Linked DNA regions of Drosophila melanogaster. The protein of the gene in region 1 interacts with the protein of each later gene in a pairwise test. Each region holds a gene or a part of one and is shown in the gene's direction. Other genes may lie near its edges.

Region 1 (4,574 bases):
CTGGCGGATAAAAAGCGCCCAAAGTCGAAGGGAATATCAGATTCAAATTCACTTGGCAGATATGCTGAGGTCGTTGCTATTTTTGGGGTATTTCGGGATTCGAAATTAGGGGGGGTGGTCTTGGTCTTGTCACGTCAGCTGCAGAGTCTGACAGCCACTGCACGAAATTTGCATTCAAATCGAGCCGTGTATCTGGGCAACTTAGTATCTGTATCTGACAGATACCCAGCTGGCACACTTCTTTGTCGAGGTTGAGAAATGGCTACGGCCCAACTTGCCGCTTTCTTTCGAACTTCCTTCAAAGTGCCTGAAACTAATTATCTGCCTGCTCGCAAACGTTTACTCCAACTTTCGTTTAATTGGTCATAGTTATCGCCAAGTTTGTCATTATTAAAGATGCTTCTGATGCATCTGAAACTGGATTTTTTCAGCCAGAACACTGCTTAATAGCTCACATGTCGCTTTGCCTTTGGTCCTGCTCCACGTTATCCCGTCGCCAAAGCAAACAAAATCTTGCTGATGCAGCAGCTGGCAATTACAGCGAATGCTTTTCTAATTAGATGCACCCACATTTTCCAATTCCCCCCGGCCCCGCCCCCCTCTCTCTCCGCTGCTCTACAACATGGGTGGAAAAGCGATGGAAATTGCCTGAGTGCGTAAGCGAAAAACCAGCCATGTGCATGAATCGTAGGCGAGATATATCACTAAACAATGCACTCTCAGCAACGTGCCACTGAGTATAAGTTGGATATTTAGTTAAAAACTATTTAGATGCTTTTGCTGTTATTCAGTGGTTTAAAGCGCACATTTATAAAGTCCTCTGTGCACTTATCGAATTCAAAGTCCTAAAGAAATCAAAGAAATGTCCATAGGTAATCATAGCTTTTTGCCATTGAGACTCGCACGCCCTCAAGTGTAAATCCGCTCTCCAGTCAATTTTCTTCGCTTTTCCGCCGCACATTTTCCCCGCTTGTCCAGACGATTCGATGCTTATCGATGAGCGCAAATCTCGTGCCTCCCATATTTATGTATATATATATGTTTATACATATATATGCATGAGCTTTTAGAAATCATGTAGACATTAGTTGCCCTGCAGTCGTCTGACTGTTTGTTACCCTCGAAATGGAAACTGCACTTTATCGCTTAAATTGCTCAAGTGCAGTTCATTTATGATTTTCGTGCTCATTTCCGCTTGTTGTGGCCGATTTCCGTCGCATAGATATCTCACTCAGCATTTTCCGCTCTGCATTAGAATATGTGAATCTGTGAAACTGTGAATGTCTCTGAATCTCAGTCAGTCGAGGCGATTGTGCAAGTGACCTTGGCCAGGAGGCGGGGGCCACCCATGCGGCCATTTCGTAAACGAGCCACCTCTCATGAATATGAGTCAATTAATATAACTCAATTTGATGTCGGGCCAGAGTGTTTCGACTGCTACCCTATACAAGTATCTATGCATTTTCAAGAACTTTAACAATTGAATGTGGAAAATAGTACATGAGTAGCGAGAAATCAAAATTAAATGAATGAAAAAATTGTATCTGTAATATCTTTGTAGCTTTGTATCATAAAATTTTTTTCTTTTGTATGGAGTAGTGTGTTCAAAGTTCGTCAAACTTATCTGGCCACCAAATGGTTTGTGTATATTCACGTATTCCGTATGATATGTGCTGGGCAGCTTGTGTTTTGCAATGTGAATCACGACGAAATTGCATTTGATTTTGGGAGGCTCGCATTTGCATTCGCATTCGGATTTGTGCAGCGATTTATCCGTTAAGTAACTAAATCAATTAGCCTGCTGTGCCGATTAAAATAACGAGAAGCGTTTCGGTCATAGCCGATAACAAATACGATTCGAATGGCACAATCTAATGATGCTGGGCATTAAGATACAGATGGAAATTCGAATGCACAGTGGTCCAAAAAGGGCCCAACCTCAAACTGCATGTCACAAGCAATGCCAGTCATAAAAGCTCGGCACTTCACACGACTAAAAAAGCTTTGCTCACCCAGTAACCGGTCACCTTGCCTTATGAATATACATATATTTAATATATCCCTGGAGGTCAGTGAGTCACACCGTGTTAGATTCACCCCTTGACATCCCCCGAACGAAAATTAGTATAATGTAACGAAGAAGCATTCACAATGAACAGACCCCCAAAACTACAGTTAGTAAGACAAGTTAATATGGTTTATTCATTTATTGGAAATTACAGCTTTCTTAAACTAATAATCCTATTTTTTATAAATACCCAGCTAAAGCTAATCTCCTTAATATTTATAGTTTCATTAGATACCATTTGAGTAGATAACACAATTTGTACACAATATGTACTACATTTCCTGATCGTTTCGTCCCACTGTGCCATGTGTTGCTCGCTCTCTGTCTCTCTCTCTCTCTCTCTCTCTCTCTCTCTCTTTCGCCCGCTGCTTCTCTCGCTCTCGCAATTGTAGTTTTATTCGCCGAGTGTAACGATGGGAGAATTCTGAGTATTTGTGTTGTTTGTATTACTTCAGTGGCATTCTGTGCGTGCTGGCGAGCGCAATATGAATTAGTCAGCGGCGCTTCGCTACATTTGCTACATTGGCTTTAATCGCTCGTTTCTGAGGCATCTATTCGGCTGGACAATCTGGATTAACTGCATCCAAAACGTATATATCTTGTATTGGCCGCGATGTCGTTGACGGGAACCCAGGACTACGATCGCAAATACCTGCTCAGCATGCCGGGCCTGTGCAAGCTGGCCTGTTTGGTAATTAGCCTTACACATATGTGCCATTGTGTATCGCCCTTAATGTGTGCGCTTGTATGTGTGCGTCTTTCAGCTGTGCAGCTTTGTTGGAATATTGTGCATCATCTGCGGACCGGTGCGCGTGAGCAATTTCCGCGGCAGTTTCTACCTGGCCGTAGTCACCATCGGATTCGTGGCCACCGGCTGCCTGCTCCTGGCCAGGTATCTCCGGTTGTGGCAGCGCCAGTTCTGCCGATGCGATCCCACGCTCTGGTCCCTGGCGGTGCACTCCTCATTGGCCCTGGCCTACTTCACGGCCTCCGGACTCGTACTCTCCCTGGATATTGGAGCCTATACGGCGGCGGCGGTAAGTGGCGTTCTCGCAGTTAGGATAAGTTCGGAAACCAAAAGTATTACGGCTCATTGTTTCGGCTAATGATTAAGCTAGGAAAGATACTGGTAAACGAAACACTGAGCCTCCAGTTGGAGCCGATTCATTCCCTCGCTGTGATGAACTCTCTGTAGATCCGTCTAATACACCCTATTCTTCACCTTTTTTTTTACAGTTCTTTGGCCTGACAGCATTTTGCATCAACGGACTGGAGGCCTATGGAAACTATCGGCGCAGTCGCCAGCGGGAGGTGGCCACCCAAACGATATAGACTTGGTTTCAGGTGCACGAACCCAGCTTTTGGTGGCTCTTACTACGTTAGGCTTACTCTGTGTGTGTATCTGTGTGAGAGCGAGTATCTGTGTGCGAACGAGTATCTGTGTGAGTGCCAGTGCGTGCGCGTGTGTGTGAGTTTGTTTTGAGAGAGCGAGTATCGCTTGCGTTTGCTTGAAGCATTTAAGTCTGAAGTTTGAAATTGTGGCAAGCTTTTGTCGCGGGAACAGTTACCGTATGTGTTATCTAATAGTCGCTAGATATAGGTCAAGAAGTGAAGAAGATAAAGCCAGTCGATCGCAGCAATAACGTAGATATAATAGCGAACAGAAAGCGAGAGAAAACCACTAACAAGAGAGCAAATTCCAAAGAGATAAGTTGTATTGTGCCTTCTGGCTCTGCTTCTTCCCTTCTTCTGATAACTGGTTAACAATGCGTGAATATATATGTACATATATATACCCGATTTTTTTTTTACTTTTATTAAGTACATAGTATTTGTGTGTCTCAAGTGAATATACATTGAAGTAGTTAGTTTTTAGCACAATGCTTTTCATGACCACTGAATTGTTGTATTTATAAACAAATAAATCGTTTGCAATGGAAGAATAAAACAAAAATACATAAATGTAATTTGTAAATGAAGGGTGTTTTTTAATGATGAGAGTTCATATGCGTAAATTGGGCTTGAATGTCAATTGTTGATCGTGCATATTGTTATTGATTCATTTACGCAAAAGGCCACTTTCCCGAGGCTATTGTTTATTTATTTTACTACACGAACTACTTTTGCGACCATGTTTGCTTGCACAACAAGCTATTTTCACCTAACATTGCCGGATAGAATTTTTGCAACCGGCGCTCCATGAAAAAGATATCGCCAACCTTTGTTTACCTTATCCGCATTGAAACTGAAAATAAACAGGTACACTATGGTGCCCCCCTGTCTGATTTTGCTTCTTGTTTCGTTTTCGTTTTGGTTTCGGTGCTCTGTAAGCTGTTGCCATTGTTGGCTTTTCAAATCTTTTGAACCACCCACAAACGCAACAACCATCATCACCCAACAAGCAGCACCCAACGCCCACAAAAAAGCACTTGGCTCGTCTATTGTTTGTGTTGTTTTTGGGGGCTCCCGCCTCATTATTATTACTTTTGTTGCCAGTTTGATGAAG
Region 2 (3,794 bases), on another chromosome or scaffold:
GAGAGCCTGGAGCCACCTCTAGAGCCACGCCGAAAAAATCGTGTGCCAAAAAGTCGTTATGGCGGTACGCATCTTGTTATTCTAGAGTCTTTGATAAAACCCTATCAAAAAATAAGACAAGACGAAATTGTAGGTTGTCAATATTTTTGGAAAAACCAAATCAGACGCATGTGAACTCGTTTATCGCGCGAGGCGAGTTGCATCTCAATTGCGCTGAAGAATACATGTTTTTAACTGGTGTCGGTTGATGGATAGACTGGAAGTATGAAATCGATCTTTCGGATAAAGGCACTGAGTTCTGGGGTATTACCACTGAATGTGGGTATTTGCCTAATTTGGCTTAAGGCTTGATTCAGATGGGATTCCGATAACAGTTTGACTTGCTCGGTTGCCATGGCTGATGATTTTATTTTTATTTTTGTTTTTACACTTTTATTGACCGTATGCAGTAGGTTTGACTATTGCGTGTCAACCACCGATTATAAGTAGTTCTTTTGCGGATAAAAGAGTTAATTGTATTACGATTTTATGTTCACTTTAGCGCCGATTCGCGTGGTTCAATCTTAAGCAGGGTTATGGCGATTGATAACGTACTCAGAACTGAACTAACGTATTGGGGCATGTTTGGGTTTATGTAGGCAGATTGGGATAGCTTAAGAGCGAAGCTTAAGAGAACAACGTTATCAACGTCTATTCTCCTGTTAAGAGAGGAGCTTCCGAAAAATAGGATTAATTGGAGAATCCTGAGACGATTGTGTGGGCGGAAGTTTTTGTTATTTCAGTTGGTTCACCAAGTGATCGGATATTTAGGGGACGTGGACGTTGGCTCGACGCAGAGTCTAGACTTTGGAATTCGGACTTTTGCACTTTGCTGTGAGTAATTGACAGCTAAGCTTAATCGAAGGGCTCTCGATCTTTAATTACATTTCGTACTTACACATTGATGTGTGTGTGTAATTGTTTACGATAGTGTGTGTGGTTGGGGAGTTGTGGGTATAGAATGGATATGTTAATATATATATATGATATAATATAATATATATATGTCGGTGAAGCCGAGCGTCCAATTAATTAGCACAGCAAGTCGCCTGCGTGTTGTCTCTTTGGCAGTTCTCACCAGACTTATTTACTCAAGCGTCGCCTTCTCGATGCTATTCTTCTATTTCTCATCTTCAAAATTCTTTTTTTGTTTTATCCTTACTTCGTTTCCACAAAACTCTACCACAACAACAACAGGCGCCATGCTAATTTGAATACACACACAAATGATGCCCACTCAATAACGGAACTCATTCCGTGAATTTTATTACTCGCTGCTCATCCTTAACATACGGATCAATAAACAAATGTCGGTTACATTCAAATAATAATTCAAATAATATGTTAGATCTACTCAATCTCCGACATATATATTAAAATATTAATAATTATAATAATAAAATTAATAATATTAAAATTATTATTATTATATATATATATATGTATATATATATTTATTTATTATACTTATTGTATTGTATTGTATATATATATATATATATATAATATATATATTATAATATATTATATATATATTGTTATATAAATTAACAGGCAACGATTTTGTGTATTGCGATTTATTATGCGACTATGCGCGTTCTGATGAGTTTTAAAACTAAAGACAGAAAACTTAAGCTTAATATGAAGTAGCCCGTTTTCTGAAGCAGCGCTCACGGCAGAATGCTGACATCGCGCTTCACACGCTCCGGGCAGTAGAATGTTGACCATTGCGCTTCACACGCTCCGGGCAGTGACTAAAATTACTAAAACGGCCCTTGTTCCTTTTCCACCGCTCCTAAATCGTCACTAGCTCACCGACGCTAGTTTGACGAGCTTATGTTTTTTATCGCTTACATTTGCATCAGTTTTTTAATTTTATTTGTGCACAGCCACACCAAAAGTTTGGTCACATGATATGTTCACCTGACAAAATCACAGTTTTCATTGAGGAATTGTGACGAATTGTGTTTGCTGAAACTTTTTATTCTCTTAAAAGTGTTTAACAAAAATTTAAGAAAATGAAAATCTGTGGCCCGAAACTATCACTTTGTGGTCTTATTATCTCTGTTTGGGGTATTGTCCAATTGGTGAGTACTGAGAATCTAATTTCGTCAAAGTTTCAAAAAGTAACCACTTACATATTTATGTTAAAGGTTTTAATGGGTCTATTCTTCTACATAAATAGTGTAGCCCTCATTGAGGACTTACCTCTTGAGGAGGAATACCATTCGTTGGAAGATTTTTATGCAGCTGCAAATAGAGCATACAATCAGGTATGTTCTCTTTTTACAACAACCATATGTACACATACGTCTGCTAATGCAAGGTAAATTTTTTCAGAATGCCTACAACTGCTGGATTGCCGCATGTATATATGTTTTGACTTTGTTGCTCTCCGCCCAGCAATTTTACATGAATAGCAGAGTAACTGCCAACTAATATTTCAGATGTAGTTTCCCAACTACTTAAAACTAGTATTGAAATTTTCCCTTCGATATATTTGTTAGAGGTGTTTTCCTTTTAATAAAGTTAAAGTTCAATTTAAATGTTACAACATGCTTATTGTATTAAGGGGCGGAGTGAGGAGTTTGTGTTTTTTAAACCCCAAAGAAGACTATTCACTTCATTTTTTATGTTTCATGTGTTCAGTGCGCCATTCACTTCTTATTTCTGTTATATATTTAAATTTTGAGAATTAATATATTTGATTACTATAGTAGCGATAAATCCAAACTCCGGAATTTCCTTCAGAGTCATGAAAGCACTTTTTTTTATTAAAGAGGTCAATCTGAACAAATTGTTGAAATGATATTTTATTTCTCCACGGGAATTTTACCTACGGAAGACCTAAAAAAAGGTATTTTAAATGTTTATTACGGTTATTACTGATATTGTGTGGAACGGTTTGGCGAGACATGAATTATTCGTACTGTTTTTAATTTTGTTGATAGCTATTATTAAATTACCCAACTTACAAATATTTTATTTATAAATTAATTAAAGTAGTTAGTAAGGTCATTACTGTCTTGATTTCCTATATCAAGCTGGTAATTAATTATGTTACGTTACGTCGTTCTGTAACATGTACATATGAACACGAGATTATCTTGTGCGCTGTGTTGCTGTATCCACATACACTAGTCGGTAAGCATTTTGACAAAATAAACTCCAAACCTTTTTTCAGTGAAACTTTTAAATGGTTTAATATGATAGTAATGTCTATTTTTTGTGTGTAAGTAAGTCGAACCTTTACTAAATCCTCCATATTGTAAAGGATCATCTCTTTAAAAAGAGAAGTGATTTCAGAAATCGCCTTCTAACGAGTTTTGTGTCACGGAACAGTTATTTTCCGTTTTAAAAGAGACCAGATTTCTTAATTATATTTAAATCTGGACTTTGAGGTGCACAATTCAAGAGAGTGACGCCAACAGCCTTTAGAAACTTGGCTATCATTCGGGCTTTGTGGCACGGAGCATAATCTTTCTGCAGGATAAATGATCCTCGATCAGCCTATTTCCAGAAGGAAACGCATTTTCGTTTAGGGTCGTCAAACATTGCCTTTGGTTCATCGAGCCGGAGACAGGGACCAAGTCACCGAACCGAAGACACTAGAGTAACAGATGCGTAGTGCCATACTCTCAAATTTTTGTTCGAGAGCGAGAGAGCGGAGAGCGCTACAGCGAACAGCTCTTTTCGACGCCTGCAGTGATAGCAGACAACTGTATGTGTGCACACGTATGCTCATGCATTGTAAA
Region 3 (7,433 bases), on another chromosome or scaffold:
TGTGCGTTTTGCCGCCCAGCATGCGTCTGCAACTGAACTTGAAATCACATCTCAGAGGAGGGAAATAAAAAAGCTACATAAATGTTGACAATTAAGTTAGTTCTTAGCCTTAACCTCCAAGAAAATATCACGTTGAGCTGCTAATTCAGATTTATGTAATGAGTTATTAGAACATTTGCTGTATGTAATTACCTAATGATAACGGCAATAGTGTACATTTCCTTGTTCAATTAACTTCAGTGATCAATTTCTTCTTAGGATCCATGAAATGCCGGATTTCATAAAGAAAATAGCTACCATTTCATTTAAAAAGCATTCATGAAGTCTTAAATATTTCCCCACAGATATGAGAACGGCGACTGGGCCCAACGCACCGACTGGCATCGTGTAGTGGTGTTCAAGCCCAATCTGCGTGACACCGTGCTGGAATACTTGAAGAAGGGACAGCGAACCATGGTGCAGGGAAAGATCACCTATGGAGAGATCACCGACCAGCAGGGCAACCAGAAGACTAGCACCAGTATCATAGCCGACGATGTGTTGTTTTTCCGTGATGCCAACAACTAAAATTTAAGCCCAGATCACCAAACCTAATCTTAAGCGAAAAGTTGAACTTGCAGCATTGTAAGCATTTATAATATTCGTTGGATATATTGTGTTATCAGATTACATGCGTAGTCGTACTCCACATGTGTCTTTTGGTTTTAACTCCTTGACCTTTTTGCATGGGAACGGTGCGTTGAATTGGCGTGCATGTTCGTTATAAAGCTGCTCGAACTCCTTTTGAACTTGTGTGACCTGGCTCTTCAATTTTTCGATATTTTTTTCCATAGACTCCAGTGTATTATTGTGGTAATCGATAAGCTTGGTTACCTGTTGATACACTCACTTTAGAAACTCTAAATACAACTTTTAGTCATCATTTCATACCAAATTTACGGAAGGTACTTTTGCGGATATCTGCTCATTATACGTCGCGACCTCCTCTTTGATCTGATTGCAATGATCGACTGTTTTTTTCGAAGACATCAGCATACTCAGCAAATCCTGATATGTGGTACTTGCCAAAGGAAACACTTGGCCTGCCAGACTCTCAGGACTCGGATAGCTCTGCTCCAATTTCGTAACTGCTTTCTCCGCCTGTATAAGGTTAATCTCGTTTTCATGCAGCTCCATTTCTACCCTAAGCATGGTGCACTTTACTGATCTCAGGGTATCATCGATGGGAAGTGCCTGTTGGAGTATGAAAAATTTATATCCTGTTTGCCTATGGCCATTGAGTCTCACATTTTTGGCATTGTCTAGGCAAATTTGTTCCTGTTCCTTAAGAAATTTTAACTTGGTATTGAAATCTGATTCCATTTCAAGGCTGTCCTGCATTAAAATATCCGCCAGCATATCCAAGTACAGGAATGTCGACGGATCTGATAAGTTTGGCTCACACATAATTTTAAAATTAACTTTAAATGAATTTTATGTATTTTTTGTATGTGTTTTTGTGACTTATGTTTTGTTTGTCACTGAGTGTTAGGCAAATCAAAGCTTGCTAAGGTATGAGTTTTCTGATCGTATTCTAATCTAAGGGATCCTTGCCAAGAGGCATCATTTATTTTCATACATCAAGGATTATAATGGTGATTACAGTTTTTGAAGCTCTTACCCTCGAGCAGAGTTTGCTCTTTAGTTCCCAACTTTGGAGACCTCCACAAGCTCTCTTCGCTCGCGAGCTTGGAGCGACCTTATCGCCATTTACCACTCAGTTTTCTCGCTGAGCGACACAGTTCGCAGTTAGTTTTTGCCAGTTCAAATGCTGCCGGCGGTCGGAAGAGTTGATAGCTGATCGAGCGCTCCGTTTGCGATTTTGTTTCACTCGAGCACGTTGTTTATCCCGGATTCGTTTTGCATCTTCGCGACCCGTAACTATCAGCAGTGCTGCACTGGTGTGCCATTCATACATGCTCCACTTCTGCAGAAGATGACGATTTGTTAAGAAGCAATAGCAAACAGTTACTTTCATTTATTTTTGATTATCAATAAAAAATCAAACATGGCTGTGGATTATGTACTGGAGGACCTGATGGGGAAACTTGGTGAGTGGAATGGGCTTTTGGGAGCGAAGACTTTTGAAAGGTCAGCTGTTACGTTGCCAGGCGTCTCCATCCCGTGCTGATAAGAGCCTGGCGTTATGCTTATCATTTTGAGAGGTCTTATCAGCGTTGCAAGCTACTATGGATAATATTTTGTTTCACGACGACCAATGAGGTTTACCGCCCAACCTTCTGTTCTGCTTTTAAAATCTATAATTAATTTTTCCGTATTATGCTTTTAATCTCCGCCTAATCTATCCGGCTGGCTGTCCGTCACGTCAAGTGCTCAAAAGAAGCCGACTATAATACTTTTTTAATTGCAACTATTTTCATTTTCATTTTGCACTATTCTTAATTTAATAAATCGTCGAGGCCACCAAGTGACAGACATTTATGACAGCTTGATAGAGACTCCGACCTGTTGCTCCCCTTTTGACTATATACCATACCAAGTATGTATTTATGTACACATATAGTCGACACATGTTCGTGTGGGCCAAGTTCTGAGCTGGAGGCTGTCTGACACTTGTTGAGCCTACTTGGCTTTAGCACAGTGACGCTAAAACGAGTGTGGCGGCTAACAGGCAAACAAAAATAAAACGGGTGCAAAAGGGGCGGTATCTGTCACAAGACTGTGAAGTAGGCTCGTCATAAAGATCTTGGGATCTACGGATATCTGGGTATTTGCTTATAATTTATTATATACTCTAATTGTGCGGTTCAAACATTGCAGCTAGCTTGTGGAAGCTACAAAATTAAGCGTGTTTATATGCAGTATGCAAAATAGTTAAGATTAATTGTGGGAATACAGTGGAAGATCGATGGATAAACAGTTTTATTTGTCACGGCTACAAATTAGAAATTTATGAGTCACATAAAATATGAGTTGGAATATAAAATTTGTGTCAACGATTGTGCTGAAATTGTCGTTAATTAAAATAGAACAGTTTTTTACAATCCGAAACTGGTTTTGTATTAAGCATTCGCAAAACCGCAGCCTATAAGAAAGTGACAGGAGAGAGGGAGTAATAATCGCATTAGCGACTTTTTTATTCGTAATATATTCGCATACATTTGTATCTGTGAAATGCAAAAAACCTTAAACTGGTTTGCTCACATTCAACTATATGGCAATACCTCCCTCAGCCATCAAAATTCACATATCGCTCTTTTATTTCTGTTTACTTTGTTGAAGGCCTATTGGCGAGCAGCAACTCTAATTACTTCGAATTTGGAGGCGTGTTGCATTGCTGAGTTGGTTGTTATTTGTACGTAAGAAGGTTACCATAAAACCAGCAACTTAAAATGACTTTGAGAGCACTTCCACACGTGCTATGTGGAGAGCACAGAACAGAACTAAATCGACCTTCAGTTGTTAGTAAACGCGGGAAGTGAAAATGTTGAAGTACGGATGAACAAAAACCGAAGGAAGCCTTAAAGTGGAGGTGTAAAACCATGATCTACCTCAATTATTCGAATCATGATACTTAAGCACAAAGGAAATTTTAAAAGCTTTGAAGAAATCAACTCTGAAATAAAGCAACAGTTGATAGTAGAATAACAGTAGATTAATATACATGTGCAATATTGTTAGAAATATGACTGCATTATTTTTTAATATTCCGTGTTCTTATCCATCTCACTTATCGCTCAAAAAGTTTGCCCAGAATAAACAACGGTCCAAACCTGCGCCATATTCATTTTAATGTGCAAACTGTTGGTTTTGTACATCATAATAGATGGCTTACGATTAAGAGAACAACAAACATTGACAGGGCCAAAAACAAATGTCGTATTCAAGGGCCACTTGGCAACAATTATACGGCTAGTTATATTGGACGGATGCAATAAATCTGAAGCAACAATATCACTGATATATGATCTAGCATTTGGTGGCCTCTGATAATCCGCTATGAGTTCCACATTAGTATTTACTATTACGAGTTTAGTTATCACAAATTTGGCCAATCGATTTCCTAGATTGTGCTCAATTATACGCTGATTATGTCTATTGGGGGCGTAATTGAATTTCATTAGGCGTAGAGTCAAATTTTATAATTGAGATTAATTAAGTCAACCCGATGACATAATTTTACACTTCACGCAATCGTTTTAATAATGAAAAATGAAAATTCTCAGACGTTTTACTCATGATTTGTCGATTGCAACGTAACCGGGGTGAACGTAACTTTTCATTTGATGGCAAGAGTTTCGTTTAAACGATCAATAAACGTAACCCACAAATCAATTGAAACGGCTGATTGAACATTGGACCGTGATCAAGTGTCAAATTCTCGTATCTAGGCTACATACTGTCCATGTCGTTAGAAATTTACACAGCCCCTGGCCTCCCATCAACGCGATCGCCATGGACTGACTGACCAGCCAAGTCATAATCGATTCAGTGCATTCTCCCAAGACATCCGAGTCTCTTTTCATGGCGTTCGAAACCAAAACCAAACCAAACCAAACTGTGGGCAAATATTTGACGGGCTAGGCGAATGCGCTTCAATTGAAATCGAATTGAATAAATTCCACTTGATTTAATTGCAAAGCCTTTGGAGTGACGACAATTCCAGCGATACCCATTAAAAGTTCCCATCTACATAAAAGTCGGCTGTTTCTTTGGGTTGTGTTTTTATCGCAGCTACGTGATGTTCAAATTCAAATACTGAAATAAAAAACCGTTTTAAATAATTTGAGCTAGAACAACTTCCGTTTTCAGCTCAACTTACTTTCTTTTTATTATATTTAATCGTAAACTGGGTGATTCATGGGTGCTACAGATTATCACTATCTATCATGTTGCTGAAAGCTCACATTTGTTGTGCGCTCATAACCTTTCCCAAGACATTAATGATTGTGAAATGTCTTTCTATTTTTTTCTATCCAATTGCAGGGGAGTTTGGAAAGTACCAGTTCCTGCAGTTCTTCCTGCAGGTGCTCTCCGGCCTGACCGCTGGCATGCACATGCTATCGCTGGTCACGGTGGCCGCCGTGCCTGAGCATCGCTGCTTCATCGAGGGCGTGGATAACAGCAGCTTGTCGGTGACACCATGGAACTCGAGCGCTATCCTGGCCGCCATTCCGCTGAAGCCCAATGGCGAGCTAGAGTCCTGCCTCATGTTCGATCCCAGTAGTCCTGGCACCAATACCACCATCAATTGCGAACGTTACGTATACGACACGACGTACTACAAGACTTCGCGCACCATCGACTGGAACTTTGTGTGCGATCGCCGCTGGATGGGAGCCATTGTGCAGACCGTGTTCATGCTGGGCGTGTTCACAGGCGCAGTCACCCTTGGCGGACTCGCCGACAAAGTGGGTCGGAAAACCGTGTTCTGCTGGTCGGCCCTGTTCCAATTGATCATCGGTGTGGGTGTGGCCTTCATTCCCGAGTACTTCTCATTCATGGTGGCTCGCTACCTGCTGGGCATTGTGGGATCAGCGGGTGCCTACATCTGTGGGTTCGTGCTGACCATGGAACTGGTGGGACCTACCAAGCGTACTGTGTGCGGCATTACCTTCCAGGTGAGGAAGACTTCAATAGATTTTGCATTTTTTAAACTGGCTATACCATGCAATACTTTTAGGCTGTTTTCGCTGGTGGCATCATGTTGGTGGCCGGATGGGGAGCACTCATCCCTGACCGCCAGTGGCTCCAAGTGATCTACGGACTGCATGGCTGTCTGTTCCTGGGCCACTGGTGGTGGCTCGATGAATCTCCGCGCTGGCTGTGGATGCAGGGACGTGCCGCCGAGGCGGTGGATATTGTGGCCAAGGGCCTGAGAATCAACGGATCGGGCATCCCGGTGGACAAGGAGTACTATGTGCAGAAAGCCAAACAGCAGGCGGCGGCCGAAGAAAAATCCAGCGCCGGATTGAGCGACCTCTTCCGCACGCCCAACTTGAGGATGAAGACTTTGAACGTGTGCCTCTGCTGGTTCGCCAATTCTCTGGTTTATTACGGACTATCGCTCAGTGCCGGCAAGCTGTATGGAAATCCCTACCTGATCCTGTTCATCATGGGCCTCGTGGAGTTCCCCAGCTACATAACCATTGTGTTCGTCCTAGATCGCCTGGGTCGTCGATCGATCACCTCCACCCTGATGTTGGGTGGCGGTCTATGCTGCATTGTGGCCGCCTACATTGCCCAGGGCAGCACCACCTCCACGGCGGTGGTAATGGCAGGAAAGCTCCTCATCGCCGGTTCCTTTGCCGTAATCTACAATTACTCAGCCGAACTGTTTCCCACCGTGGTGCGGAACTCGGCCATGGGATTGGGATCGATGTGTGCCCGTTTGTCGGGAGCCCTTACTCCGCTCATTACATTGCTGGACTCATTTGATCCGAAGATACCGGCCGTGCTGTTCGGCGTGGTGGCCCTGATCTCGGGCTTCTGGGTTATGTTCCTGCCGGAGACAATGAACCAGCCCATGCCCGAGTCCATTGAGGATGGAGAGAACTTCGGAAAGGGAGATACTTGGTTCAGTCAGTGTGCTGGTCGCAAAAAGCGCCAGAATAGCGTATATCCCGACGATCCGGAGCAAATGGTGCCGCTCAAGAACATCGAGAGCAAGTAGAACCTAGCCAAAGACGATTGTTTCCCAAGTCCAAAATCCAGCTTAAATTCCTTGTTACCCTGTGTTTTCTTGTTAAGAATTCTACTCTTCTGCCTAGTAGTAAGATTTAATAGTTTCTATTCATTCCAAGCGAATAAAACGATGTGCAGAATATGGGGAATCCTAATTTGTGGATTCACTCATTTCTGAGTGTCCCTTTGTTGTTTGTACGGATTTTTTCTTTTAATTTTTTCGGTGGTAAAATTTAGTTTAAAGGAAATTTAAATGCTTGACGAGCATTTTTACTGATTAGTGTTGTCTACTTTTAGGCTCTATCAATTTAGGCGCAGATTCATAGCTTGAATTTCAATTTTCTCTACGGTAAAACCAGTACACACCAAAAAATTATTTCCCAACTATTTCCAATTAAAGTTTATTCTCCGACCGACACAGCCAATTCGGGTTCGTCTGGCCTTGCAAAGTTTCAGTAATTTCCACTCAATTGCACTATCGAATTGCCAATTGCCGACAGGGATTTCCAATGTCAAATCCATAACCCATCGCTTCCCTTTGCTCCACATGATGTTTAACCCGCCAATTAAAGTTTGTTTAAAGAGAGAGTTTTGGTTTTTCGGTTTTTGTTTCTTGTTTGGTAATTCTTCATTTTGTTTTGTTTGGTACATTTGAGAACATTCATTTCGAATTTGAATATATTTTCAATTTAAATTTTAACTACACGTAGGCATATAGATTTATAAACGTATGTATGTGTATGCCGATA
Region 4 (3,268 bases), on another chromosome or scaffold:
TTAGAAAACAGGGGAGCATGGCTGCAATAAGCATTAGCATTTGACTCGCATGTAACCTCCATCCCATCTACCCGATCACTCCCAATTGGTCAATGGGTATCTGCTAACTTAGTTCTCGGGAAAAGAAGAGAAGAAAAGTAAAATAACATTTGCTTGTTTCCGTTTCATTCTTTTTTGTTGTCGTTGTTGTGCCTCGTTTCGCCCGTTCTGTGTCGTCTGCCTGCCCGCATCATCATCAACAATAAAAACAACAACCACCGCACCACTAAACACCAAACACACCCAACGCCTTGCCAAAAACTTCCAACATCCAGACACCAATAGCACGCACCACCATCAGCAACATCAACAGCAGCAGCAGCAGCAGCAGCAACACCACCACCAGCAACACGTACTGCTGTTGCAGCAACACCAGCAGCTTCAGCAACATCAGCAGCAACAGCAACAGCAGCAGCAGCAGCAGCATGTTGCCTTGGATGGCTACAGCGCCACATTGGCCAATTTGAAGAAGCAACGCTCGCTTTCACGCACCGCCAATGTCCTCAATACTTTCGAATTGTCATCCCAAACAGCTAGCAATGCCCATCCAATTGCAGCAGCTAATGCCACAACAACTAATGGTTCTGTTTTAGGAGCCGGCGGCAGCAGCAGCAACAACAACAACAACCTGAGCACCAGCAACAACAACAACAACGGATCCGCACCGATCTCGACGCAGCCAACATTGGGTCACATGGGCGCGGGAAGCGTGCTATCCGACTTCGAGGGCTCCTCGCCGGCGGGCAGTTCGCTGAACAAGTTCAGCGGCATCACTGGCGACGTGGTCACCGATAGCACCAGTTCCAGTCGCAGGTGTTGCGTCCTGATGTAGAAACTTAGCGAACTACTAGAGTCACAGGGTATTAGAGCAGCCAGAATTGTCAGAGGGATAGGCCATTTGTTAAATGGCAAGAAAAAAGTGTCTTTTTATTAGATTAGCCGTATTCAGTGAGTGAATTGTTGAATGTTGATTACACAAATGCATGTTGGTTTTGAGAACGGGGTTCGATTCTGTGAGCTCCTAGATAACGGCTGAAAGTCGTTGCATTTTCCTAGCAGACACAACAACACACTAAAGACACACACAACCAATTATACGAAACAAATTTATACAAATATACAACCATATGTATACATTTTAAAGAATATTAAAAGAATTACGTATAAAATAATTGTGAGCAGTTTACCTTAGGCGATATATAACAACTAACTAAATCAAAATGAAAAAACATCAAAAAATATTTATATAGCAATGCTAAGTAAGAACCTAACTTAATAGATTTGCTTGGAGTGCATTAGGAATATCTGTGTTTCCGTGTGTGAGTGTTACAACCGAAACAGGCGAAGTATTATGCAACAAGTAAATATTTAACTAAATATATAGTACGATAGCAAAATTGTAGTTAAACCGTGACAGCAAAGTAAAGCAAAGCAATGAGACGAAATGCATAGCACTCAAGCAATTTCCACATATAAGTGTCTAAATGTTTGAATTGAAGGAATGTTAATAATGCCAGGCGGCATAGAGATTTATTTTTTAATGCAACTACTTTGCTCTGCGTTATGTAAGTTGAGTTTTGTTGAGAGGTACAAGAATATATGTATTATTTATGTAGCAGCGGTCTTTGTATATAAACCTACACAATTCCAAAAGATGCAAAAACAACGCGCAATTAGCAAATGAGACTTTTTCGATGAATGTCAAGGCATTAGCTGAACGTTTTGTAAAATAAACAAATGAAATACGAAAAAATTACACACAAATTTGATTTGATTTTGCGCCAGTTAGTTTTTTATATTCCTGTGCTTATATTTCTTATGAAGAATGAAGTTGAAGTAAATATCTACTCTTTTAAATCTCGCGCCAAGGTGCTCCACCTGGCGGGATTTTAATGAACCGCAAGCTTGTCATATGGAAGTAAGTTGGCAGCTTTGCGCATCAGCTGTTGCCTCGTTCGACTTTTGTTTACATTTTTATTGGTTTAAACTTATAAGTTTAAAGATCTAACCTAATGGAATCACTCGCAAAATATCGATACAGTTTGGTGGCTGGCTCCTTCGCAGCTGCAGGAAGCTTTTTCGGAAAACTTCCCAGCCACCTGAGCGCCCAAAAACTACTGAATACTTCGCAAATAAATGAAGACTTTTCTTATTTAGGCAAGATTGTGATTTCTTCAAACAAGCAAAATGTTTATAAATTTATAAAATTTTATTTTATTTATTAGAAATAGCATTACTTCAGCTGCTGCCACTAGTGTTAATGGTAACATGCAACGTTTGCAACTTGCGTTTCTTTTTGAAGGCCCTGCAAATGACTGAACAAACTTTAACGTGCGTCGTTTTAACTGCCGCTTCGAATTATGTCTTATCGGTAGGTGATCCACCGATCTATTTGTTCAATTATGATTACTGTTCGTTATATAGTTTGTCCTAGGTGCGCTTGTTTATCGGGAGCCACTGACAGTACTATCTGGCATCGGAATAACTCTCATTCTGGCTGGTCTTTGGTTTCTTTGCGACGGAGGAACAGTCGAGTCCGAAAAGCAGGACAAAATGGAATAGTAGGAATGGGATTTGCTTAAGATTAGCTTCTTTTATACACATTTTTCATTTGCCATATAACTTTCTGAAGCAGGGATAAAAATAGTTAAAGAAACTTAATTTTCCATTTGTAACTTTAAAATATAAAAATGTTGGGAACCCCAATTAGTCCAAAAAAACGAATGGTTTATATACTTTTGTTTAATGTATGTACTGTTTTGCAAATACATAGTTTTCATTTCATTTATAATGCACTGTTAGTGTGCACGCTTCTTCATTCACGCGGCAATAATTACAACTATTATGTTTTACGTGGTTTTGTATTTTTGTTTTCATCGTTTGTGTGTAAAAGTTTGGCAGAACAAAAAAAGGTGTTGAAATGGGATAGAGCATGACAGTAAGAGCACAAACTATAAATATATTTATCCCTTCGTTTATATATATAGGTAATAGTAATTAATTTTTATAATTCAGAATCGTTATTTAATTGCTAAGACGTATAAATACTTTTTATATTCTTTCTCTCGACATCTGTAATCATCAATCAGCTTCAACGCAGCCAAACAGACAAAAAGTAAAATCAAGCAAGAAATGGCAGATCCAAGTTACATACAAGTTTTGCCCATCTGTCGTTTGTTTTCCTTGGACGAAGTAGTGTTGTGTCCTGTCCTATCCTGTCTGGGAGTTT

The links.
Region 2: the proteins of CG12730 (region 1) and RNASEK interact in a two-hybrid assay, tested with the Drosophila melanogaster proteins (one large-scale study listed by BioGRID).
Region 3: the proteins of CG12730 (region 1) and CG6126 interact in a two-hybrid assay, tested with the Drosophila melanogaster proteins (one large-scale study listed by BioGRID).
Region 4: the proteins of CG12730 (region 1) and CG42495 interact in a two-hybrid assay, tested with the Drosophila melanogaster proteins (one large-scale study listed by BioGRID).

Annotation. Positions count from the first base shown.
Region 1 is NC_004354.4:5,514,740-5,519,313, forward strand, and holds CG12730 (uncharacterized protein), read left to right. Parts: upstream 1-1,868; 5' UTR 1,869-2,681; coding exon 2,682-2,759; exon of another isoform or gene 2,760-2,761; intron 2,762-2,832; coding exon 2,833-3,105; intron 3,106-3,304; coding exon 3,305-3,400; 3' UTR 3,401-4,032; downstream 4,033-4,574.
Region 2 is NT_033778.4:4,186,278-4,190,071, reverse strand, and holds RNASEK (ribonuclease kappa), read left to right. Parts: upstream 1-1,944; 5' UTR 1,945-2,057; coding exon 2,058-2,126; intron 2,127-2,192; coding exon 2,193-2,312; intron 2,313-2,379; coding exon 2,380-2,478; 3' UTR 2,479-3,237; downstream 3,238-3,794.
Region 3 is NT_033777.3:16,197,448-16,204,880, reverse strand, and holds CG6126 (uncharacterized protein), read left to right. Parts: upstream 1-1,797; 5' UTR 1,798-2,047; coding exon 2,048-2,090; intron 2,091-4,986; coding exon 4,987-5,621; intron 5,622-5,683; coding exon 5,684-6,673; 3' UTR 6,674-6,881; downstream 6,882-7,433. Other genes in the region: mtSSB (mitochondrial single stranded DNA-binding protein), read left to right, coding at 345-567; CG31287 (uncharacterized protein), read right to left, coding at 667-873, 931-1,233, 1,288-1,446.
Region 4 is NT_037436.4:18,665,384-18,668,651, forward strand, and holds CG42495 (uncharacterized protein), read left to right. Parts: upstream 1-1,977; 5' UTR 1,978-2,051; coding exon 2,052-2,196; intron 2,197-2,264; coding exon 2,265-2,410; intron 2,411-2,463; coding exon 2,464-2,601; 3' UTR 2,602-2,752; downstream 2,753-3,268. Other genes in the region: MYPT-75D (myosin phosphatase targeting subunit 75D), read left to right, coding at 315-871.